Oryzias latipes: one gene and its partners. The protein of the gene in region 3 purifies or fractionates together with the protein of the main gene of each other region. This does not show direct contact. Links are inferred from orthologs where the notes say so. Each region holds a gene or a part of one and is shown on either strand. Other genes may lie near its edges.

Region 1 (4,295 bases), on a different chromosome or scaffold from region 3:
GTAATATAACCGCCTCCATGCGAGCGTTGGGGTCCCCCGTTACCCAGCATGTAGTCCTGGTACGCCTTGAACCTCTCGTAGAACAGCAGGCTGCCGGTCTGGAAGGTGTCCGGCAGAGTCGCTCCTGACCGCCGCTCCGACCTCTGCAGCTGCGTCCCCGACCTCTCAGAGTTCTGGTGGTCTGTCCCGCTGTCGTCGTCGTCATCCTCGTCTTCGTCACTGACGTCTCCAGCATCATCGTTCTGGAACAGAGCTGCAGAACCCAGCGGAGGTCATGAATGATGGCTGTGAAAGTTTGTCCAGCGCCACTTTTCAAAATAAAAGACTGTTAATGCTTTTTTAAACTTTGAAGGACTTTAAAAAAAATGTTTGCATTGATTTAACTCATTTATAAAGTTATTTTGCTATTTTAAAAAATATGCTTTCAACTCTAATTTTAATAATAATTTCATAGGCATTTTAAATGTTATTTTTGTCCTTAATTGCTGTATTTTTAGTAAGTTAACAGGTTTTAAGGCTTTTTCCGGTCCTCCTGTGTCAAAATCCTCATGAAAGCAGATATTTTCTCTTCTCTTTTATTTAACAATCTGTTAAACAACTTCATAGAATCAACAAAAGAGTCACAAATACTGTGTCTACATACACAAATAAATGAATTTATTTACACCCCCGTTTTCCAGGTGTCAAACTCCAGGCCTCGAGGGCCGGTGTCCTACATGTTGTCCAACCAACCTGCCATGAAGCACACCTGATCCAGGTAATCAGTAGCAGATAAGGCAGGATATCTTAAAAAAAAAAAAAGAAACAGTCTGACACCCCTTTTGCGGTCTTCTATAGGTATATTTTGTTTTTGTAATAACATAATTGTGTTATTTGTTTATTTCAACATCCGTTAATGTCTACTCAGATGAGAGTGAAATATAATTATTTGTCGTATTTGGGTTAAGTTTGGAAAATCCTGCAAGATTGACAGTTCCGAGAATGCAGCTCAGGCTGACGACATATGAAGACGCTGCGTTCACAGACCGCCGGAAACTCGGATAAAAAGTCTGCTAAATCTCCAAGCTAGCAAACCTCGACGGCAGCGGTTAGCTTGTCTCATACACCGACTCGGAGGAAAGAAAACTCAAACCAAAAACGGTAACGTAACAAACCTTGCGCTACATCCAATAAACCGGGTCCCGCGGAGCAAACGCTGTCCGTCTCGACCTGAGGATCCAGATCGACCACCACCAAGTCCGACACGTCGCTGACGGTACACCCGGTTTCCAGGGCTTCGAACTCCATTGAAACGCTCGCCAGAGTCTCGGTTTAACGGGATTAAATGAGGATCACGCGGCACTTGGAGCTTTGAAACAACAAGCGGAGTTCTGAGCCCACGCCCTGACACTTTCAAAAGATCCCGGTCTGCTGCAGCTCAGCCAATCACAGCAGGGAGCTATATAAAGACCCGCCCTTGTTTTTTTACATGCGCGGATCGGCTCGGTCTGCAGTACCACAGGACAATCGTTAGGGGGCAGTAATGACGTAAACATTACACGATCTACCGTAGAAGAAGAGGGTTTCGGCCGGCGGTCTGCGCTATTTCAAAGGTACAAACGGGATTTAAGTCAAAACTACGCGTATTATATAAATATTTGTCATGTAAACAACAGCGCATTTCGCAGCTCTTTTCGGCTAGACAGCATTTTTGTTTTGTTTATAAGCATTTGTAACGTTGTTAGCATGTCGCGCTACTACTAGCATCGTGCTACTTAGCATGCTAACTAACTTCAGTCTGAATCTTGTTTTTACGAAGTCAATATTCCGAGTTATTTTTATTTTTATTGCCAATCTTTTTAAATAAAATCAAAACAAAAGCTTTAGTTTTTTAGGCACAAAAAAAATTCATATATGAGATGAAACAGATGTTTTAATTCATGCGCTGTTAAGGCTGATGATCATGATGATGTTATTATTGTTGTTCGCACGTATTTTTACTAGAAAACAAAGTTATGGAAAACATATTTAAAGTTAAAATCCCATTAACTGTGAGAAAATTGTACTTTGATCCTGGAGGAGCGGAGAGCTGCAGAAACAGCCGCTCAGGAACCAGGGGGGTATTTTCTTTATTTTTAGCTTTTTTTTTAATTGAAAAAACACTTGAGGTTTACAATTTGTAACAATTGTATACAATTATGACAAGTATAGAAAAGTAGAAAAAGTACAGGACATGAACAAACAACATAGGCAGGATAAAATAAAAATATAACAATAATACCGAAAAAAAATTAAATAAAAGAAATTAAAATAAAAAGGGGGTCACATAGACATTTTAATGATTCTTGACTTGGGGGGTTCTCAAAAAGCTGCAAGTTACATATAATACTTTGAAGTTCCATAGCAAGTTTGATTTCCATGAAGTTTGCAGATGAAAAAAAGAGCAGAGTTCTTTATGAAATGTAAAAGAATATGGTTGGATTTCAAGGAATTGACATTTATGTATATAGAATTTACCCAAAATAATTACAACATTTAAAATAAGTTCTGTGTTTTTTTGTTTTTTAAATTAAACCCAAAAATGATGTCCTTAATAGAAAAGTCTGCTAAATGTGGGATTTGGGGGAAAAGCCAATAATTCCAAAAGACATTAGAGTCAAAACATTCAAAGAAAAGATGCTCAGTTGTTTCAATGTCATCATGACAAAAAGAACAGCAGTTTTCAGGAATTCCAAACCGTTTTCTTAGTAATTCCTTGGAAGGGTAAAATACCTGAAAAGGTTTTAAAATTGACTTCCTTGGCTTTAGGAGGGATGGGGAGTTTGAAATATTTGGTTCGTATTTGTTTCTTTTCTGAATTATTGAAATATTGGGTTATATAATTTGAATTTGAGATGTAGGGAAAGGACGTTTCATTCAAATATTCTCTGATTTGATGGTTGGGGAGTTTGAGTTAGGGTTACCAAGTCCAGCGTAATTACACTAACTCAAATCTGGTCATACCGACATACCCAGAGTAAGCAAGTTCAGGCGGATTTCAGCCAGAGTTCAGGCTTAAAGTCAGGCTAGTTTAAACGTGCTTCCTGGATACCTGCCTGAACTTACCGAAATCCTAACCTTGACCCTTCCTGTGGGTCCGTGCAGCCAATGACAACGTTCAGCACTGGCTGCACGTGCGCATTCTTGTAATTATTGACCTTTTATTGGGTCATTATTTCAAAACATTTATTTCAAGTTTGTTTTGAATTGAACAGAATTAGGACTTAAATAATTATGCTTGCTTTTAAAATGGATGTAAACATAGAGGATCATTATTATTTTACAGGTTATTTCCAAAACCCTCATATTTACTGTTGGATGCTCGGTGGTCCGTCCTCACAGGTCCTAGCAGCTTGTTGTTGTTTTGGTAGATGTTAAAACCAGTCCATGCAGGTTTGATGGGGTGGCCTGACCTTTGGTGTCTTCCTCTACAGTTTTGGGGTTCCCACCTGACCGGGTTTGTCTTCCTCGCGGCTCGGGGTTCGGCTGCAGCCGCGGCTGAAGATGTCGCAGCAGAAATGCGTCCAGAGCTGCGGCGACGACCAAGAAGGCTTTGAGCTGTCGGCCAGTGACGAGTCGGAGCCCGAGGAAGAGCTGAGCCGGGCGCCCTTTGACCCGGAGCTGGATGACAGCGACGACGGGGGCGAGGAGGCGTGCGCTCTCGGCGCCACCCGCTCAACTGCGAGCACGTTCGTCTTGAGCGGAGGGAACTCTGCGTTCTCCGACCGCAGCCGCAGCGTCTTCGACTGCCTGGATGGCGTCGAGAGGCAGACGGCACCTCTGCTCCCCGAGGAGAGCATGCCCCCTCCCAAATGTCCCCCTCCTGCAAAGAAGAGGGGGGTCCCGGACTACCTGCTGCACCCTGATCGCTGGACGCGCTACAGCCTGGAGGACGTGAAGGAGACCACTGATCAGGAGAACCGCAGGGCGGCGCACAACTTCCTGTCCAGTCTGCGGCCTGAAGAGGGCAACCGCCCCCCCGGTGAACCCCCCCACGACCAGCAGCAAAAGGTGGTCTTCTCTAAACCCAAACGAGCGTTCAAGGAAGAAATCTCTGAGTCAGACCAGCAAGGAAAGGAGAAGAGACTGCACCTCAGTCACCTGGCTGAGGAAGAGGAGGAGGACAACAAGGCTGCTGGAAAGACCCAGCAGGATGCAGAGGAGGTCAGAGACCAGCAGGAGTCCCTCCCCAGCTTCACCCCCTTCAAGAAAATGAAGAGGAAGAGCTACAGAAGGAGCTCGGATCACAAGGATGAGTGCTAAAATGCTCGATTTGA
Region 2 (4,105 bases), on a different chromosome or scaffold from region 3:
TTTCTACGCCGCACCCGGTATAATCCCACTCCCCAAAAATAAACACAAATTGTTTCATTTGTCTCTCTTTAGTTCTAATTTTGACCTGAATGCTCCTATATTTCTTATTAGCATGAAGCCATGAAGGTTCAAAGAGCTTAGAAGTATCTTTGAACTTATGGATCACCAAGGATTAAGTAAATAAACAGAAATATGAATTCATTTTTTAGACTTTGTTTCTGTTATAATCAGTGAGACCAACTTTTTCCTCTGACAATGACACCCCTTTGTATTGTTCAGGGAGTCTAGATAGAGTTAGCTCAGACCTTCTTTTTTGTTGAGGTTCATGTCTGTTCTTAAAGTTTCTGGCCAGAAATTAGCGCATGCATTCCCGTCCCCCTGTGCAAAAGACCCAATCCTGCTTTGCCCTGCAATTTGAAAGAAATCTGTAAAACTTTACGCAATAGAGTGTGCAAAATGACAATGTAAAAACTCCATGTTTGGTTTGTTCAACTTTTAATTTTTGTGTCTTTACTCCCAAACAAACAATGCAGACCTTCTGAAGTGAATGTTTGGTTGAGGGGAATTCTGACTCCAAACTCAGTGAGACAGACGATGATCTGCAAATGATGTTTTCAAAGTAAGGCTAAACATAGCAGCTACAATATTCAAGAGAAGTCTCTTCATGCATCTAGAAAAAGTTTTTTTTAAACTTTTGAGTCTCAATTCAGCAGTAATTATCTGGTGAGATCTTAAATTACACTAATATCTCATTTAGATTTCATGAATAAAATTTGCATTTGTTCCACAGGATTAGACAGTTCTCAAAGTTTCTGTCATTAAATGACAAAAAAATATTTCTCAAACTGAATTAAATGCTGATTCTTGTATTTTTACATCAATGCAGCTGAAATATAACTTTCTTTCTATAAAAGTGTTTTTCAGATGTCAGAATAAAATGTGAGAATATGGGAGAACAAAAACTTTCATTGTAGGAAATGTTCTGCTGGACCAGTTCAGTTACCCCCACCACCCCCACCCCCGCAGTCGGTTCCCATAGTTGTTTATTGTTATAAAATGTGGTTTCTCATTTTTTTTGTCTAAATCACAAATAAAGGGTTTCTTTATTTTATCATTCAACCATAAACTAGACCTCTAAACTTTTATTCATTAATACCATTATTATTAGAAAGTAACGCTAGTTGATGAGAAGAAAAGCTTCTCTTTTAGTGTCCTATCTTCCAAACGAAACCGAAAGCACAAAGGCAGATGATTGATTGCAGGAGTTTCCTCGACCTGAACCGACTGGAATTTGATGAAATCCTAAACCCAGCGTCAGTAGTCCATGACGGGGAGGAAATTGAGCAGCAGCAGCAGCAGCCTGGGTGATGCTGGAAAGACGCAGCGCTGCGTCGGCTGTGACTGACCCCGCTGCAGCTCTGACCTCTGCACCTGAGAAAGTGTGCAGTGCAGACAGTACCGAGAGGAAGCAGAAGGATAATGAGAGCAGCTGGAGCGTTAATTCCACGAACCTGCAAGTCACTGTCAGACATAGGTTTGCTCGTCTGAGGATCCTGCTGAAGAGCATAATAAATGGTAAGCGCACTGGTGCGTAATTACGCACGCACAGTGACAAAGTGAGTTGTTTTAGTGCTTTGATGCCAAAGCAGAGATTGAGAATTAAACCTGAGACTCGGACTTGAGTCTCACTTCAGTTTCAAAGGCAGGGATTTAAGACTTGAAAGCCTATTTAAGACTGAAACCTTAACTTCAAGAGCATCAGACTAGACTTTGAGGACTTGAGAACATTCTTAGTTTATTTTTAGTTTTACCTTAAAAAAAAAAAACAGATTGAGGTCTAATATTTTTGTGCTGTATGTGTCACTATTAGGTGGTTTAAAATACTGTAATGACATTAGTGAGAATCACACATTTTTAAAAATAATTTCCAACATTTTGGATTTGACTTGTAACCAAAGACTTAAAACCAGACTATGACTTGGGAAAAGTGGATTTCAGAGCATTTTAATGCCAAAGTCTGTGCACTTTGTCTTTCTGTCATGTGATACAAAGATGCCCAGGAGCCGAGTGATTTTATTCAGTCTTCACTGGGCTGCATTTAAGGTACTTCCACACCTCTTTCTTTTATGCAGTGTCTGACCGGAACTCTACTCCACAGTGTCCTGGTGGTTCTCTTGTTGGCCAACTCATCTGGTAAAAGTAAATGTAACTACAAAGACATACTGGGCTTCTACAGAGAAGTCATCTTCGTTGAGCTGCAGAATCTGGTATGACGACCAAACTGACCGCAAAATAAGAATTTCAATGTTTGTTTATATTCAACAGCCTTTTACCTACAGCTGACACTAAGAAAAGTGTTGGAATATATGGTTAGAGACTGCCCTCCAGTGTTTGTTTTGCAACACACACACAAAGAAAAGCCTCAAAACGAATTTTCCCACACTTTGAATGAGATGAAACTGGATTTCTAAAATAATATTTTTGATGACTAATGTTTTTCAGAATTTGACTGTTTCTCACAACTCATCCAAAGGGAGAGATCCCTGCCCCTCTGCAAAGGTGAGCATCAATGCTATAGGTACATTAGATGTAGTTTGGTGGCTGTAAAACGGAAATCACACACACAACAAATGCAGTAAACGTAGTAACAAAAATGGAAACAAATTACAGAAAACTGTTAAAATAGAACATTTAAAAATATTTTGCTTTAAAAAAAAAAAAACAATATTAAAAGTAAAAACAAAAAAACAAAAAAGGAGATTTCTTTAACCCTGATGTGACATATTTGTTTAGTTTGGCAAGTTTTGTCTACCCAAATACTTGCATTGTTTGTTATCAAGGTCTTTAAATGCTGTCTGTTTTCTCCTTTTTCCTGCCATCTCATGGCAGGCACATCGCATCCTTGTGTCCATATACATTAACACACAGCAGGTCCTCTGTTTGAAGAGCGGCAAGAAGCTGTCTGACCTGAAAAAGCCAATAGAAAACATGGAGCAGCTCATCGTTCAAAACTGCAGTCCTAATTATATGGTGAGAAAAAGTACCGATGCAGATCTTTGAAGTATGCAAAAAAACTTAAAAATCTGAACTAATTTATCTTTTTTTTCTTTTTTTCTTTTACTTCTAGGGAAAGAAAAACCCCTGTTCATCTGCCCAAAAAATACAAGGGAGAAAAGGCAAGAGATTTAGGGTGATCAAAACCATAAAGGCATTGATTAGATGTTGGGAAAAACTCAAAAGTGTCGTACCCTCTGATAAATAGTATGACTTTGGTCCCTAGGACCCGTGCTACTCTATGCACTCAAATTTCCAGATGGTTCTTCCAATCTGGTCAAGATAGACTTTGTAAAAAAAAAAACGGCTTCCTCTTTTATTGGAATGCTCAAGTTGTTTTATTCCTCCTTTTTTTAACAGTTGTCGAGATCTCCGAGTTTTGTGATTAAAAAAACGCCATCCACTGCATGTCAGCATTCCTCTTTGCAATATGAATTGTTTCCTAATAAGCCAAGATAAGCTAAAAAGTATTCACTCACCATTCAGATGTTCTCCAGTAAAATATGCACATTTTCATTCTTTGTAGCATGTTTTTTTTGAATGACATATTGACATTATACATATTTCCTGTCTTTTTTACTGTAATTTCATTTAATAAAATACTGAATATTTATTAATACTTTTATTAGAGAGGAAATTGTTGGTTTTGTTGTTTTTTATAAAAGGAAATCTTAAAGAGTGGAACTGTTCTTAAAAAGAATGTTTCCGACGGAACAAATAAGGTGTTACGCAGCGTCCGCCAGTGTTTACAGCCGAGAGTCCGCGAAGCGAATTCGCCACGAATCTGAACATTATCGTAAAGTAGCTTTTGTTCTTTGCATGTTAGTAAAAAAAAAAGTGCGAAGGGCAGTTCTTAGTCAGAATTATACTCTTTTCATTGTTTGTTTTCGTAACATTTACAGCGACGCAGAAATGCGTTTTTGTTCCTTAACAACACTCCCCTGAAGCAGCTTCTTCACTAGTCTGTGACTGTCTGTGGGACGTTCTGGGTAATCCTTTCCAATATTCAGGACACTTGTATTTTATTTTAGGAGGTTATTTGTGACACAAA
Region 3 (4,053 bases):
AACCGACACAGAAAATTGACATTGCAAACATTTTCATAGCATTGAAAATAAGAACAATGTGTAACTCTTCAGTATAAGATTTTTACAGTACCATTTTATTTTATTTTTTTAAGCACAATTACAACGCAACATCAAAAATGTAACTAATTCGCTAAAATGATTTTTTCTATAGTATATTCCAATTCAGGCCAAACTGTTGGACTGCTGTTTTACAGATAGCCTAGTTGAAGAACCAGCAGGAATCATTAAAATGTTTTTTCTTCATCGGGAATCGTACATCAAACAGTACTTGAAATTTATTTTATTACGTCTACTTAAGTATAAGTATAGCAATTGTACTGTAGACCATAAACTGTATGTGTAGTGTGGGAAGTATATTAACTGAATACTTTTTCAGACTGAATTGGAACATTTTAAGTTTACAATATATAGATATTACAGAAAAAGTAGATTTCAAGTATGCTGCCAAAAATTAAGAATAGGCTAAATATACTTGACGTTTACTTGAATAGACTTATTTTTGCAAAGCGATGGACTGATCAGCTTCACCATTCTATTCTGAAAATCTTAAATGCAGTTCAAGTGCATATTTATAGTTTTCATTCATTTTCTACCGTTTTATCCCTTTCGGGGTCACGGGGCTGCCAGAGCCTATCCTGACCACTTGTGGGCGAAGGCAGGGGACACCCTGGACAGTTTGCCAGTCTGTCACACACCCACTCACATTAACACCTAGGGACAAATTAGAGTGACCAATTGACCTATGAAGCATGTTTTTGACTGGGAGGAAGCTGGAGACCCCGGAGATAACCCACACATGCACGGGGAGAACATGCAAACTCCACACAGAAAGGTCCCCCATTGGTGTTCTGGTTCAGGCAATGGAGGAAGAGCGCTAACCACTGTGCCACAGTGCAGCCATAGACACTTTATTTATTTTGCATTGATCCTATAAATATTGCAAGATAAATAAAGTATCTATCTATCTATCTATCTATCTATCTATCTATCTATCTATCTATCTATCTATCTATCTATCTATCTATCTATCTATCTATCTATCTATCTATCTATCTATCTATCTATCTATCTATCTATCTATCTATCTATCTATCTATCTATCTATCTATCTATCTATCTATCTATCTATCTATCTATCTATCTATCTATCTATCTATCTATCTTAGATTCAATAGCAACACAGAAAAGTTAATAGCAGTTTAATAAAAGTTAATACCAAATTAACTGTTTTTAACTGATATGAAGTTAATAGCAAATATATCTTAAATGGAAAAAAATAAAATTTTCTTACAGTTTTTGTTGAGATGAAAATAATTATGAAATAACTATTTGAATTTTTTTGTTTTTGTTTATAAAAGATTAGAAACGAATGTTGACGTCATCAACATTCGACGGCTTGATGATGATGAAAACAAAAGTGGACCGGGGCAGTGAGCTTACCGTGACAGTGCTAATGCTAATGCTGTTAGCTAAAGTAGGTAAAGCTTGTTTGGTTACTTTATTAATACAATATAACTCATTTTAAGGCTTTAAATTGTGTTTTTATGCCATTTAGTAACATTTAAAAATACAAAAATTGTTTTTTTTTTGCGTTTGTATCGTCCAGTAAATGTCAGTTTGTCTGGAGTTAGCGTGTTGCTGTCGTTAGTTTAAGCTTTTCAGTAAGAATCAAAGCCCTAATAAAACGTGTTTATGTTCCCAGGTGACTGCTTCAGAAAACTCTGCTCTTTCATGCCTTCCTTGGAACCAGTTTTCCATCTATGATGATGAATTCGCTAATTAGACGTAGACTACCCCCGTCGGTAGAGAGTCTTCTGACTAACATCGATCCAAAGGAGGAATGGACTGATACAGAATCCGAACCAACGACCAGAGATGGGATTCTCCTCCCGTCTAGAGGCTCTGCATCCAACACAGAGGGGTTTCTCTCTCCAGCCAAGATTTGCTACGGGGAGGCTCAAAATAACACAATAACAGCATGTACGTTTTGTAAATGTAAACCTTCTCGTTATACCTGTCCTCGTTGTAACCTCCAATACTGTGGGTTGGCATGCTATCAGAGCCGGGAGCACACCTCCTGTTCAGAGGAGTTTTACAAGGAGTCTGTTCTTCAGGAGCTGAAGAAAATGGGAAAGACAGAAAGTGAGGGAAGAAGGAGAATGCAAGAGATTTTGTTGGGAATTCAACAAAAGGGAGAAATGACTGAAGGAGGGATGGAACGTGTGCTAAAGGAAGAGGGTATTGTAAAAGACAACTCTGATGAGGAGGAAGAAAAAATTCAGGTTATGGAACTTTTGTCCAAGTTAGCACAGCTTCAGCAGTCGGAGGAAGAGAATTCAACCGAGATTGAAGCCATTCTGAGAAAACTTGAGGAGATTGGAGGAGCAGATCCAATGTCTGGAGACTCTGATGATGATGCAGAAGAGAAGTTGGACCTCACAGAACGACTGAAAGGGCTGGATATCGATAAACTATCGGAAGACGAGCTGTGGGACCTTCTCAACAGTAAAGAGAGAGAGTCATTTATGGGTCTGATGAAGAATGGAAGACTTTGGGGGCTGGTTCCTCTGTGGAAGCCTTGGTGGGAGGACCATGAGGAGGAACATAAAGAACTGGTGGAGATGATTCAAGGAGAAGAGGGCAAACTGGAGAGAGAAACTACTACAGTTACAAATCTGCAGGGGGACAATAACAAAGTCAAGACATCTCAAGAAGTCGAACCAGCGAGAGAATCAACTTCAAAGCTGAAAAATAAAAGGAGAAACAAAAAAGAGACACGTCAAAGCGAAGGAAGTTCAGCTAGAGTTCCTCCAGTTTCTGCAAAAATTCCAAAGTTAAGTTCCCTGTGTGCAAATCCATCTCCTCTGGTTTGCTACAGTCTAGTGAATACTCTTTATAGCTATGCCTTTACTCTCTGCCGATTTAATGGAGACACTGATTCTCTGATTTTAGAGTTCTGTGAGATGATCCTTGCTCTGTCTGAAGCCCTCCATTCAAGTAAAGTGTTTAGCTCTGTCCAAGAAGCTATAGACTGTGTACAGCCTCTCATCTTAGGAGGAGGGTATCTTGACAAAGAGGATCCTCTAGCTCCAGCTATGGCAGTGGAAGCGGTTGCCCATATCATGACTGGCAAAAACAAACGAGATCCAACAGGATACTGCCTGTCTGCATTAAACCAGCTTCGCATGATTCTTTCAAATACCAGAAAAACTCTGTCCAAAGAGGGAGACGATGCTGCAAAGAGACAGAAGTTCTTTCAAGCTATTAAAAAGTGTGAGTTCTATCAAGCCTGGGTGTTGGAGAATGAACATCAGATTCAAAGGCTGGCCATTGAGTTGTGGAGTGAGCACAGTAAAAGAGAGAGTTTAAGAAACTGCATGGACCAAGCCAAGGCTTTTGTTGAAGAAAATCGGAAAAAAGAAAAGGGAAAGAAAGACGACACAGAGCTCATCGAGGAACTAAACTGATGTATATTTTGTTTAATGTGTTGATTTTAAGATCTGTTTTGTAATAAAGTTTACAGAAAATTGAATATTGGTGTTTGTGTAAAAAATTAAAACTCAAAACAGCAATTTTGGATGTCCAATTACTAAATTAAAAAAGCCTCTTTCCATTTAGAAATGTAAACGTTTTAAATGCATAGAGTTAAAGTAATAAAAAGTTGAAATCATTGGAAAATTAGGAATATAACTATACAAAGCTTTTAAAACAATATTACGTGAATAAACATCTGATTTTTGAGGCCACAGTTGTAGGCATCACCCTATCACAAAGAAAATGTAAAGCAACATTTTATTAAAACAGATTATAAATAAAAGCGTTTAAGAAAATTTGATTCAAATGATAGTATTTGAATTTGAAAAAAAAAAAGACTTAGTGGAAGTATTAGTCGTTTCTGTTAACATTTTTCAGAGCAATGATCAGGAACTTGGTCATAACAGACACTCTCGCGATATTTCCGCTCACGTGTTGCGGATCTTCCTCTACGCAGCTACAGAAAACATGGCAGCGCTCTTGAGATCAGCCCGGTTA
Region 4 (4,057 bases), about 1.5 Mb from region 3:
GCCACCTTTGGCCCCAGAGCCTCAGATTGCTGATCAGCCTGAGCAACCTTCTGTTCATTTTCAACACCAATAAACTCATCTGGGGGGAAAAAAAACAAAACATAAAAAACAGGAGATTTTTAATCAACTCCGTTGGTGTATTTGATTCTTTTACATTGATATTTTAAAGTTAAGTTTGATTTTAATTTATAGTAACTTTTGTTTAACTTTAGAAGTATTTATCATGCTTTTGTCTAAGGGGTATCATCATCAGGCTGTGACACACAGCTCAGATAATCCAAAAGTATTCTTGATTGATTTTTAAGTAAAATACGAAACAACTTTTGAGCCTTTTTTCTGTTGTTGTTGATAGTCGATTATGCTAACAGTCCTTCATGCAGAGCACAACTATTTAATTATGAAGCACAGATGAGGAAAAATCCTGAACTTAACATTTGTGTTGTGTGTGGTAGTACTGTACTCACATTTCAAGCTTATGCGAAACGGGTCTTCTGGTGTATCGTGAAATCATTCTCCGGCTTGTATCTCTGCTCTATGATCGGCTAAATCCATCATTTCTCGTCCCTGCCTCCGCTCCAGAGGATCTTGTGGAAAAGTCTAATATTCCTGGCACAACGTTCCTCTGACAAGATGACTCCACGACTGAACAGACAAAAGAATGCTAATGCTCTGTTTAGTGTCATGAGATGCTAAAAATATCAGCTAACCAGCGTGAACAACATCCCTGCAAAATATCAACAGGGCACAAACAACGTTGCAAAATGATGTTCTAGCGTTGTTCTAGCAATGTTATAATGGCACACACAAGCCATCTACAAGCGTTCTATACTAACCATATTTAATACATTTGTTTGTTTTTGCTGTGAGAGGACTGAATGCTAGTACTAGCTAAACCACTGGCAACAATAACGCCGCTGTCATGGATACCAATTGTGTTGAACGCGCTTCTTCATGGGAAATGCAGTTAATTCACAATCTGTGTTGAGCTTAATCAATGAAAACCTACTTCAACTCCCAGCATGCATTGTAACTGGTGGTTTGTACGTCTAGAAAAAGCTTCCGTTATGTTTAGTGGACATTGACAAATTCCAAAAGACTTACTTGAGAATTTAACATAACCACATCATTTTAATATGAGTTTAATAAAAACATTTATATTTTTATTTTTTTGTGTTTATCTAGAAGGGGTATTATTCGCATGTTTTTAAGAAAGCGGAACTTAAAGACGATGGTAGGAACCCGGTTGTAGAGTGTAGTCGGCTTGATATTACCGACGGATCAATCAGTGGCAGAAAGCATCGTGGATGTGTCGTTTTGTAAACATGATTGAAGAATTTTTTGTCATTATTTTTTTCTTTCAATCACATCAACGTAATTTATAGTAAGACAGGGTAAGCTTCAATCCTAAAGTATGTTTATGCAAATTACGTCGTTACGTAATAATTGAGTTTAGCTAACTGTAAACGGACTACAGTGGTAACTTGTCTTTAGTTCTTTCTCTGTTGTGTTGTGCAGTTGGACATACATTGTGACCTTACTTTGCTTATCGCACGTGCACACTAGTTTATTGTTCATTCCTTCCAACAGGTTGCGTGCAAAAGTACAGAAATTGAACAAAAATGGATCTTTTACAAAGAAGGGTATTTCAGGATGATATGGTCCAATACAATCTCTTCTTGCTACCTGCGGATCATTCAACTCTTCAGCAGAACGAGCGACGACTTAAAGAGATGCTTGGAGAGATTTTTGCAAAGCTTGCCCCCATGTTGGTGGAATATATTTGGCAACATCAACCATTCAATCTGAAGTATCATCCATCCAAAGGTAATGGATGGTTATATGATCTATGTTCACTTTAATAGCTTTCTAACTATTAACTTTTGTATATTCCGTTTGCAAACAGGAGACATCCCGGCTCACATTGGAGGCATCACTCAGTTTGGGGACAACGTGGAGGATGAGTGGTTTATCGTTTACCTTCTGCAGCAGATCACAAAGACTTTCTCAGATCTGGTTGTCAGGTGAAGAATATATATGTATTTGAAGTTATATTTTCTTCTTTAAACTAATTCTTGCCAACATTACTTTGGTTTGTTCCCAAATATAATTAATTTTTACTCAGTGTTGAAGACAACGACGGGGAATTTATTCTCATCGAAGCTGCAGATTATCTTCCCAAATGGTTGAGCCCCGATACAAGTGAAAACAGGGTGAGTCAGACACACAGAGGGGCAAATAGTGTGTTTTATATCATATTTCTATACTTTTGAAAGGTGATGGATTACTCTCAGAAAGAGTTTTGATCAGATTTATAGTGAAACCTCTTGAGTCAGAAAAACAGATGATAAAATGTAATATGTTGCAGTATTGCAAAATATTGATAAGCATCTTTAAAATAATTATAACCGGAGAGCTTTCAATATGATGTGAAGAATAAAAAGGGATGGATGACATTGGATTTTTCTGATGTTTTCAATTTGTTGATTGATACCAATAAATTCTATTAACACCTGTGTTTTGACTTGATAAAAATATGTAACCAAATCTCCCCTATTTTTAAAGTTTGTTTTTTTTTACCTCACAACGCATCCCTGCTCCTTTACAAGGAAACAGATTTATTATAATTATAATCTATTATAATATATATTTTTTTTTAGATAGATGCAGCTCTTTTTTTAGCTGAGTAAAAGTTCTGATTTTTTCATTTGAAATGAACAGGGGTAGAAAGTCTTGTGCAATAAAATCTTACAATTTCTGCAAAAACCCACTGAAGTCAATGTATAGCTTGTGACAACCCACCTTCGATAGTTTAAGTGTTAATTATTATAATTTTTTTCAATCTTTTGCAGGTTTTTCTCTTTAGGGGAGAGTTGCACATCATTCCTCGCCCTTCCAAATCGAGTTCTGTGGGCTTCCCACGTAATGTGGTCCCCAGTGTGGAACAGGCTCTCGCACTTCTCTCTGCTCACCCAGAAGCTTGCCAAGCAAGCCCCGGGATACGTTCAGCCCTGAGAAAAAGACTTGTGGGGTGATGCATAAAGAAGACCTTTTAGTATTTCTGCCGCTAAATTTTACATCATATCATTGTGGGTTAAATAATGTGAGAGTGTATACGTTTTTTGCTGACTTAAATCTTTGTAAATGATGGATTGAATTCCAAACCAAAAACCATTTGCTTCTCCTCAGATACCCAGAGAAGATAAAAAGCGGCCTCCACCGTGCTCACTGCTTCATACCGGCAGGAATCGCCACCGTGTTGGCGCATCGTCCTGACCTGGTGGCACCTGCCGTCTCAGCTTTTTATTTAAGAGATCCAGTCGACCTGCAGGCATGTCGGAGCTTCAAGACGTTTCACCCCGACACCAGAGTCCTCACCTCGGTAATGACACGACGACCCGAGTTCTGCTGGATGAGCATGCAGACGAGGTTTTAGCTCAGTTTTGATATCATAAGCACAGAATACCTTCTAAGATTCACCTTTACTCATTTCCAGGTTACGTTTACCCGCTGCCTCTATGCCCAGCTGCAGCAGCAGCAGTTCACGCCAGATCGGAGGAGTGGCTTTAACCTTCCTCCGCGCACTCATCCTCACTACAAAGCCCATGAGCTTGGCATGAAACTGGTTAATCCTTTTTCTTTGTCTTCATCTTCGCATGCTTTGGTTGTGAGCACACACCTTTGTGTTTTCTGTGTAACACGAAGCCTCGTGTCTGTGTTTGGGCTCCACTTTCAGGCTCACGGCTTTGAGATTTTGTGCTCCAGGTGCAGACTTCCTTCTTCAGGGCCCGACGACGCTGCTGTCAGCTGTAACCCTCAGTGGAAAAGCTTCCTGAAAAGTCTCCAAAAGAATGACTACTTCCGGGTTGGTTCACATTTGTTAACAGTTTTGTTTTTTATGAAATGCATTCATGAGGATGATTTGTTTATTCAGTGCTTTTAATTAATTGTTAAATTCGTTTCCAAATGCAGGGGGAGCTGGAAGGTTCGGCCCGGTTTAAAGAGCTTTTAAGATCAGCAGAAGTTTTCTTCAAACAATCCGTTGCTTCAAAATCTAGGT
Region 5 (4,009 bases), on a different chromosome or scaffold from region 3:
AGAACCTGTCATTTTCAGCATCCATCTGTTTCCTGAATGAAACATTATGATCTGGAACCCTTCAGCCTTGAGGGTTGAATTTGATGATTTATGGAAAGGATATTAAGACCCCCTCTGTAGCACTTCAGAGGGGTCTGCTCCTTCGAGTTATTTCGTCTAAACATTTTCAACAATTTCTCTGAGGATAAAGAGATTATCCTCAGACTTGGCAAATAAAAAAGGGAGATGCAGTTTTTTTACAAGGTAAATAATAAGAAACAACACCCATTCCTACACTTCATACCTTATGTAGGGGTTGTTTACACTTACTCCCTCTAACTGAAATATCTCTACAAGCATCATTTAGTTTCATGTGGCTTCTGTCATCAATCCTATAACTTTGGTTTATTAGTAGATCTCTTACTATAACTTTGTCTATATGAGGATCCTTGCACAACATTAATCTTGCATCCTCTAGTGGAAAAATCTGTGCAGTGCTGCTGGGCTTTTCTTCAGACTAATCAGGTTTAGTCACATCCTCTGCAAACCAACAGGGTTTCTTTTGGGTCAAAATGGAAAGTTTTTGAAACCTCTTAGTTTCTCTGACCAGTTTTGGTTCAGGAGATCACCTATGGATTATATAAGTCATGATAAAGAGAGAAAATTACCATAAGGACTTCAAGCACACATTATAAAAGCAGTGCATATTAAGGGAGTACATGTTTTTTAATGCATGATCATATTTTTACATTTGTTGGGAAATAAATATATGAATATTTGTGATGTTTTAGGTTTAATTATCTTTTTTTCAAGGTAACAGCATGATAAGTTGTTTAAAATGTGACGTTTTCTTATGCATTTCTTTAAGTTTAAAGTATTTTTTTAAACTACAATTTTAGATTCCTTGGTTTTATTTTGTTCAGATGACTGCAATCCAGGTCTTAAATTATTAGCAACCTGAGTTTATTTTTCTTTCTAATCTTTAATCTGTATTTGAATGCTTAAAATTTCAGTTCTAATAGTTATAGGTATCAAAAATGCCAAAAACATTATTTGTTAGGTAGTAAATTTGACACACAGAAAGATAATTTCGAAGTATTTAAGTATTTTCAGGTTATCATTATCGTGACGATCAAGACAAAAACGTAGCTTTCATCTCAAAAACAAATCCGGGCTTTTACGCCAGATTTGTAATTCACATTTGAGTCTATAGAGGGCAGTCCCAATAAACTCTAGTAGCGGAACTGAACGGCTTCGCATGTTTCTTGTCGGACACATTTAACCAGTACTCCCTGAGAAAGAAGCGGCGCTTCTCACGTTTTTTAAGTGTGGCTGCGGAGGTGAGTCCTGAGTTTGTAGTAGATGTTAAAATCAATTTGGACTTTAATATTTTCACCCAAGTAGTATAGCCAATTTATTTTTAAGTACTTCCGCGTGTCATGCAGGCTTTTATTACCCGGCTAATATGGCGTGTGCTGTTGTTTTGCGTTATGAACGGTGTGAATGATGCTAGCTTGTTTGCTAATATCGTTAGCTGATGTTACCTGTCGATTTTCTCCCCCCGTATTCATATTAGAAAATAAACTAATTTCAGTGAAGTGTCAATTTTTCTAAACCTGATTTACTAATACTTTCCTTCCTAGATATGTTTCACAAATATGCGTATATATATTTTAAAATGTCAAAGAGTGTTGACTAAGCTTTGCTGTTGTGTTGTGTGTGGTCATTCATTGCTGTCACTATGACAACGGACAGGACAAGTGGAGCATAAAAGGAATTCCACATTTATATTGCTTTGACAAAGTCTATGTGGAAAACACTAAAACATTGGTGAATGGAGGATGCAAATTTTAACTCTCTTTGGAAACGATAAACATCCAAAAGTGTCATCGATATTTGAACACACACATAAGGAATTCTTGCTGTTCTTTTTCATAAGCAGGATTTTTAAACAAACAATAAAAAATGCTCTTAAGATTTAGTCAAAGATCAACGAAGGCCTAAACTCCTCTGAAAATATTTGTTCTTTTGTTTACGATGAGGCAAATTGTTTTAAAAATGTTTCTTTGCATTTTTTTGTTTTCTTCTTGTCATTGATGTATTATTCTACAGATGGCAACTACAAAAGTGCCAGAGGTTCGGGACATTACACGGATTGAAAGAATAGGTAAGACCCCATGCAGATTTTCAACACTTTAGAAATAAATGGTAAGCTTAAATTGAATGGTAAACTTTAGAACATGCCTTATCTCTACATGAGCTGTGTGTATTTATTTTTGCTATGATTTCCCGTATGTTTGTAATATTTTGTGTAATAGTTTCATCTTTGTGTGGTTAGGGGCCCACTCTCACATTCGGGGCCTTGGTTTGGACGATGCTTTGGAGCCCAGACAGGTAACGTGCAGCACTTCTGTTTGTTGATCTCTGTTTTGACCCAAGACTTCAGTAGTTTTAGGTGTTTGTAGTTTTGATAAAATTATGGCTTTTTTTTGTAATTCATGTCCTTTAAAAAGGCAAAAACTTAACAGAGGAAAACATATTTGGATATTTTTAAACTGCTGTTAAACTTGAGAGGTTAAAATGTTTCGAATGTACCTTTTAATGTTTTGTTGTGTGTGGAAACAACATGAAGCAGTATAGAGGTAGTCAAGTAGCAAAGCGAGACTTGATTCTAAAGCCCTGTTGTCAGCACTAAACCCACATGTTGTGATTCCAACAGGAAAGTCTTTTAGCAGCTTGTTTAAAGCATTCAAAATGTCCCTTAAGTCAAAGGATAAAATCCGAATGAGGCATATTTGCTGCTGAACGAGTTGAGTTCCCTGTTCACCTGCAGGTGTCACAGGGGATGGTCGGCCAGCTGGCCTCCCGTCGAGCAGCAGGGATAATCCTGGAGATGATCAAAGACGGACACATCGCCGGCAGGGCCGTTCTGATTGCTGGCCAGCCGGGCACGGGGAAGACGGCTATTGCTATGGGTGAGCATGGGACCAGAAATGATGCATACAAGTTTCCACCTGAGGCAAAGTTCTGTTGGCTATTTGAGGCTTGTTGCATGTTTTTCTTTCATCTACAGGTATTGCTCAGTCTTTGGGCCCTGACACCCCCTTTACAGCTCTGGCTGGAAGTGAGATCTTTTCCCTGGAAATGAGCAAAACTGAAGCACTGAGCCAAGCTTTTAGAAAAGCTATAGGAGTGAGAATCAAGTAAGTATATAAACAAGGTTTAGGTTGTTTTTTTTGGATAGAAATTAAGTCCGCTCTCTTCCCCCCCATAAATCCAGAGAGGAGACAGAAATCATTGAAGGGGAGGTGGTAGAAATCCAGATTGACAGACCCGCCACTGGAACAGTAAGATCCTTTCACTTCATAAACAGTCTTTCCATACCATAGCTTTAGAAAACGTTGATTTATTTAGCTGATTCGCCTCATGTTGAGCTGGTTTGCTTTAATCAGGGTGCAAAGGTGGGGAAGCTGACTCTGAAGACTACAGAGATGGAGACAATATATGACTTGGGGAACAAGATGATTGAAAGCCTCAGTAAAGAGAAAGTTCAAGCCGGGTGAGTTCATCTTCTCCTCATAAAGCAATATAAAGGTTTGGGTTTTGTTTTTTTCTCAGTCCTATCTAAATGGAGCTTTTCTTGTTTGTCTTTAAACACACTTTTTAGTGATGTTATTACCATTGACAAAGCCACCGGGAAAATCTCCAAGTTGGGGCGCTCCTTCACTAGAGCCAGAGACTACGACGCCATGGGAGCCCAGGTAAGATCTCTGCATGGGACAGTTGAATACCATACTTTGAATTTGGGTTATAGTCAAATACAAAGTCCACCTGAAGCCTCTGTAAGTGTTATCACTTGAAGATTATAATGAATACTATGATTTCAGGGTTCCCTTGCTATATCACAGTTCACCTTTCGCTTTCTTTTACTGCAATTCTGCACGTTTTTTTTTTCTTTTTACAGCACTGTGTTGTGCGTCCTGATTGGCTGTTGACCTTGTCAATTAATCCCCTCTCTGTTCTTTACACA
Region 6 (3,500 bases), on a different chromosome or scaffold from region 3:
ATTTGTTCAACATCATGGATACTCCAGGTGTTGCATTTTAGCCTAACTTTGTTTTACATGTGAGCCCTTTGTCAGGAAGACAACCAAAAAATCCAACTTTGTGTTTTCATCTAAGGTCACGTGAACTTCTCTGACGAGGTCACAGCAAGCATGAGGATCTCAGACGGTGTTGTCCTCTTCATCGATGCAGCAGAGGGAGTATGATCCATATTACTGTCTCTTTTTCCCTTACACTCCAAGATGTCCAGATTCCGCATTATTGCCTTTTTTCCGCTCTAATAATTAATATCAAACTTTTTTGACAAATAGGAAGTTACAAAGTTTTTAAAATTTTTGTTTTAACTTCATTAACAAATATTGCACATACAAAATACCAAATGCAAAACTCCCCACTGTGTCCAAAAGACCATTTTCACATTTGCCAGGGAAATGAACAAAACTCCAAATTACTATAAAAACAACAATGTAAATCAGGTTAAGCAAAAATAAAAAAAGCAAAGGAATCCATTAAAGTTTCAAAAGAGAAAATGTTTCAACTGTTCTAACAGCTTTTTTGTTAAAGTTGAAGTTTATACAAACATAAAAACAGGAAATCAAATTATTAAACCAACTGGAATTAAAAACAAAACAAAACATTTTTGTAAATAAACAAGAAATTCATTCATTCATTCATTTTCTATTCCGTTTTGTCCCTTTCGGGGTCACGGGGCTGCCGGAGCCTATCCCGGCCACTTGTGGGCGAAGGCAGGGGGGCGCCCTGGACAGGTTGGCAGTCTGTTGCAGGGTAGAATGTCCACAAACACATACCCATTCACTCTCACACTCACACCTAGGGACAATTTAGATTAACCAATTAACCTATAAAGCAGGTTTTTGGACAGTGGGAGGAAGCCAGAGACCCCGGAGAAAACACATGCATGCACGGGGAGAACATGCAAACTCCACACAGAAAGGTCCCCATTGATGTTCTGGTGGAAAAGGATCAATGTTGCCTTTATATCTATGTTGGCAAAAATGTGCATGATATTTTAAGAGAAATTTCCTTGTTCTCTGTTCATATTAAAGTATTTCATAAAAATATTGCAGTTGGTTTTTTAGTTGAAATGTTTTGCATTTATGATTGCATACAATAAATTACTGTTTATTATTAGTTCACTGAATCATTGGCAAACATCAGTAGTGTGATTTCATGATATTTGGTTTCTCCTTCAGGCAAAGGGTAAATTTCTTTGTATGAAAAACATTTCATACTTAATGTTCTCGTTAGTGTTGTCTGTTAATTTGGGATTTGGAGGACGTTTGTATTTTATTTTTCATGGATGTTTTTCGTTTCAGGTGATGCTGAACACAGAGCGTCTGATCAAACACGCCGTTCAGGAGCGCATGGCCATCACCATCTGCATCAACAAGGTGGATCGTCTCATCGTGGAGCTCAAATTGCCTCCTACAGATGCATATTATAAACTTCGTCACATTGTGGATGAGGTCAACGGTTTGCTCAGGTAATTGTTCAAGTCCACTAATCGCTACTGCCCCGTTAAGTGGATTTTATTCTTGCTGTTAAAGAATAAATAACAATAAGGATGGTTGTAACTAGCTTGATAACGGGCCTTTTGTTTTTGTTTTTTCTTGTTATCCATTCTCTTCTCTTTCAGTACGTACTCCACAGACGAGAACCTGGTGGTGTCTCCCCTCCTTGGAAATGTCTGCTTCGCCAGCTCTCAGTACAGCATTTGCTTCACTCTCGGATCCTTTGCGAAGATCTACTCTGACACACACGGTTAGATGATGTACTATAAACCCATCATTAATAGTGCAGCTCCCACACTGTCAGCTAACACCTGCTCTTATGCTTGTAGGAGATATCAACTATAATGAATTTGCCAAGAGACTCTGGGGAGACATTTACTTCAATCCCAAAACGTCAGTAACCAGATTTGGTTGACTTCAGCACAGAGAAAGACATCCTCGATTCATTTCCTCTTCTCTTTTCAGTCGTAAGTTCACTAAGAAAGCTCCCAGCAGTAACTCTCAGCGCAGCTTTGTGGAGTTTATCCTGGAGCCTCTCTACAAGATCCTCTCACAGGTTCGACACATCTTGCCTTTTTCGTTTTTTTTTCTTTCCTCCTCAGATGAAGGCATCACAACCAGCTCAGTGCCGAGTGTGTAATCCTTTCCCAAATCCTCTTTGCTGTAGGTTGTCGGGGATGTGGACACATCCCTGCCCCGAGTTCTGGATGAGCTGGGGATCCACCTGTCGAAGGAGGAACTGAAGCTGAACATCAGACCTCTGCTGAGGCTGGTCTGTAACCGCTTCTTTGGAGAATTCACCGGTGGGCTTTTCTCTCATCTGTAGATAAATACAGTCGATTTTATGTAGACTACCTCTGAGAGAAGTGTTTAGGGCTGTAAAGATATCAGAAAACTTTAGATATGTGTGATCTGTTCCAGAATAAAAACAATATTCAAGATTATTAATATGTGATCCTTATAAACATACCGTAGTAAAGTATTTTAAAATGTTCTGCAGGCAATGTCGCTCATAAAATGTAAAATAAAGTTGTATTTTAATTATATAAACTAAACAAACCGTGTGTGCTACTGTCACTGGAAGTAAATAAAATTAGAATATAAAGGGTTGGGGAAAGTTCTCATTTTTAAAGGAAAACTATCGTGTTTTTTGTAGATAAAAAAACGAGACTGAAGTTCAGTTTACTAAAATAATATTAAAAAAAAACCCAATTTGTTTTGAATGTAGTTGACAATTTGAATAAAAATATAATGAATATTTGATGAAGAATATTATGAAATCTGGTGATCAAATGTGTGACGTCTGCTTGCATGGCGGACACGCTGTAACCGAAATGCGTTCACCTAAAATGCGGGACTTTTTTTGGGTATTTCCACTAAAGATGAAAAAAAAACAAGTCAAACTGTAAAACATGTTTATTTTTTTCTTTTGTAGGGATCCACAGCCCTAGATATTGGTACGGAGGTGAAAGGTCACATTAAAAAGTTGTTCTGCTGTTCTCTGGCAGGTTTTGTGGACATGTGTGTGCAACATGTCCCATCACCACAAGAGGGCGCTAGGATTAAGATAGAGCACACCTACACTGGAGGCCTGGATTCAGACCTGGGGGAGGCCATGGCAGAATGTGACCCTGATGTGAGTAGAAAAAAAGCTATCCTCTGAACCCCCCAGCTGTTTTAAAGGTAATTCCCAACAACAAGTAAATGATTTTACAATCTTCTGTCCCTTCTTGCTTCTGAATTAGGGTCCTCTCATGTGCCACACCACTAAAATGTACAGCACTGAGGACGGGGTGCAGTTTCACGCATTCGGGCGTGTTCTGAGTGGTACCATTCAGGCAGGTCAGCCCGTTAAAGTTTTGGGGGAGAACTATTCTCTGGAGGATGAGGAGGACTCTTCCGTCTGCACCGTCGGCCGCCTCTGGATCTCTGTGGCCAGGTTTGCTTCCACGTTTACTGAATTTTGTTTG

The links.
Region 1: the proteins of znhit2 (region 3) and tssc4 purify together in Homo sapiens (affinity purification with mass spectrometry; 3 studies listed by BioGRID and IntAct, counting the BioPlex papers as one, with this or other methods). This does not show direct contact. The link is inferred for Oryzias latipes from reciprocal best matches to the Homo sapiens genes ZNHIT2 and TSSC4.
Region 2: the proteins of znhit2 (region 3) and aar2 purify together in Homo sapiens (affinity purification with mass spectrometry; 3 studies listed by BioGRID and IntAct, counting the BioPlex papers as one, with this or other methods). This does not show direct contact. The link is inferred for Oryzias latipes from reciprocal best matches to the Homo sapiens genes ZNHIT2 and AAR2.
Region 4: the proteins of znhit2 (region 3) and ecd purify together in Homo sapiens (affinity purification with mass spectrometry; 3 studies listed by BioGRID and IntAct, counting the BioPlex papers as one, with this or other methods). This does not show direct contact. The link is inferred for Oryzias latipes from reciprocal best matches to the Homo sapiens genes ZNHIT2 and ECD.
Region 5: the proteins of znhit2 (region 3) and ruvbl2 purify together in Homo sapiens (affinity purification with mass spectrometry; 5 studies listed by BioGRID and IntAct, counting the BioPlex papers as one, with this or other methods). This does not show direct contact. The link is inferred for Oryzias latipes from reciprocal best matches to the Homo sapiens genes ZNHIT2 and RUVBL2.
Region 6: the proteins of znhit2 (region 3) and eftud2 purify together in Homo sapiens (affinity purification with mass spectrometry; 4 studies listed by BioGRID and IntAct, with this or other methods). This does not show direct contact. The link is inferred for Oryzias latipes from reciprocal best matches to the Homo sapiens genes ZNHIT2 and EFTUD2.

Annotation. Positions count from the first base shown.
Region 1 is NC_019861.2:37,264,295-37,268,589, reverse strand, and holds the start of tssc4 (protein TSSC4), read left to right. Parts: upstream 1-1,495; 5' UTR 1,496-1,592; intron 1,593-3,452; 5' UTR 3,453-3,522; coding exon 3,523-4,281; 3' UTR 4,282-4,295. Other genes in the region: shcbp1 (SHC SH2 domain-binding protein 1), read right to left, coding at 44-253, 1,155-1,287. UniProt on the Homo sapiens protein: Protein associated with the U5 snRNP, during its maturation and its post-splicing recycling and which is required for spliceosomal tri-snRNP complex assembly in the nucleus.
Region 2 is NC_019865.2:15,451,661-15,455,765, reverse strand, and holds the start of aar2 (protein AAR2 homolog), read left to right. Parts: upstream 1-1,305; 5' UTR 1,306-1,575; intron 1,576-2,132; 5' UTR 2,133-2,267; intron 2,268-2,502; 5' UTR 2,503-2,559; intron 2,560-2,889; 5' UTR 2,890-3,030; intron 3,031-3,127; 5' UTR 3,128-4,105. UniProt on the Homo sapiens protein: Component of the U5 snRNP complex that is required for spliceosome assembly and for pre-mRNA splicing.
Region 3 is NC_019873.2:16,399,167-16,403,219, forward strand, and holds znhit2 (zinc finger HIT domain-containing protein 2), read left to right. Parts: upstream 1-1,384; 5' UTR 1,385-1,495; exon of another isoform or gene 1,496-1,499; intron 1,500-1,723; 5' UTR 1,724-1,781; coding exon 1,782-3,488; 3' UTR 3,489-3,553; downstream 3,554-4,053. Other genes in the region: lrpprc (leucine-rich PPR motif-containing protein, mitochondrial), read left to right, coding at 4,024-4,053. UniProt on the Homo sapiens protein: May act as a bridging factor mediating the interaction between the R2TP/Prefoldin-like (R2TP/PFDL) complex and U5 small nuclear ribonucleoprotein (U5 snRNP).
Region 4 is NC_019873.2:17,934,722-17,938,778, forward strand, and holds the start of ecd (protein ecdysoneless homolog), read left to right. Parts: upstream 1-1,257; 5' UTR 1,258-1,391; intron 1,392-1,587; 5' UTR 1,588-1,619; coding exon 1,620-1,824; intron 1,825-1,903; coding exon 1,904-2,021; intron 2,022-2,122; coding exon 2,123-2,210; intron 2,211-2,849; coding exon 2,850-3,028; intron 3,029-3,186; coding exon 3,187-3,379; intron 3,380-3,493; coding exon 3,494-3,622; intron 3,623-3,733; coding exon 3,734-3,862; intron 3,863-3,969; coding exon 3,970-4,055; intron 4,056-4,057. Other genes in the region: protein FAM149B1, read right to left, coding at 465-511. UniProt on the Homo sapiens protein: Regulator of p53/TP53 stability and function. Inhibits MDM2-mediated degradation of p53/TP53 possibly by cooperating in part with TXNIP. May be involved transcriptional regulation. In vitro has intrinsic transactivation activity enhanced by EP300.
Region 5 is NC_019872.2:21,690,832-21,694,840, reverse strand, and holds the start of ruvbl2 (ruvB-like 2), read left to right. Parts: upstream 1-1,209; 5' UTR 1,210-1,319; intron 1,320-2,091; coding exon 2,092-2,146; intron 2,147-2,317; coding exon 2,318-2,373; intron 2,374-2,812; coding exon 2,813-2,954; intron 2,955-3,052; coding exon 3,053-3,182; intron 3,183-3,259; coding exon 3,260-3,326; intron 3,327-3,431; coding exon 3,432-3,538; intron 3,539-3,646; coding exon 3,647-3,740; intron 3,741-4,009. UniProt on the Homo sapiens protein: Possesses single-stranded DNA-stimulated ATPase and ATP-dependent DNA helicase (5' to 3') activity; hexamerization is thought to be critical for ATP hydrolysis and adjacent subunits in the ring-like structure contribute to the ATPase activity.
Region 6 is NC_019866.2:5,485,554-5,489,053, reverse strand, and holds part of eftud2 (116 kDa U5 small nuclear ribonucleoprotein component), read left to right. Parts: coding exon 1-27; intron 28-115; coding exon 116-198; intron 199-1,335; coding exon 1,336-1,502; intron 1,503-1,655; coding exon 1,656-1,780; intron 1,781-1,859; coding exon 1,860-1,923; intron 1,924-1,995; coding exon 1,996-2,086; intron 2,087-2,197; coding exon 2,198-2,333; intron 2,334-3,038; coding exon 3,039-3,166; intron 3,167-3,275; coding exon 3,276-3,469; intron 3,470-3,500. UniProt on the Homo sapiens protein: Required for pre-mRNA splicing as component of the spliceosome, including pre-catalytic, catalytic and post-catalytic spliceosomal complexes. Component of the U5 snRNP and the U4/U6-U5 tri-snRNP complex, a building block of the spliceosome.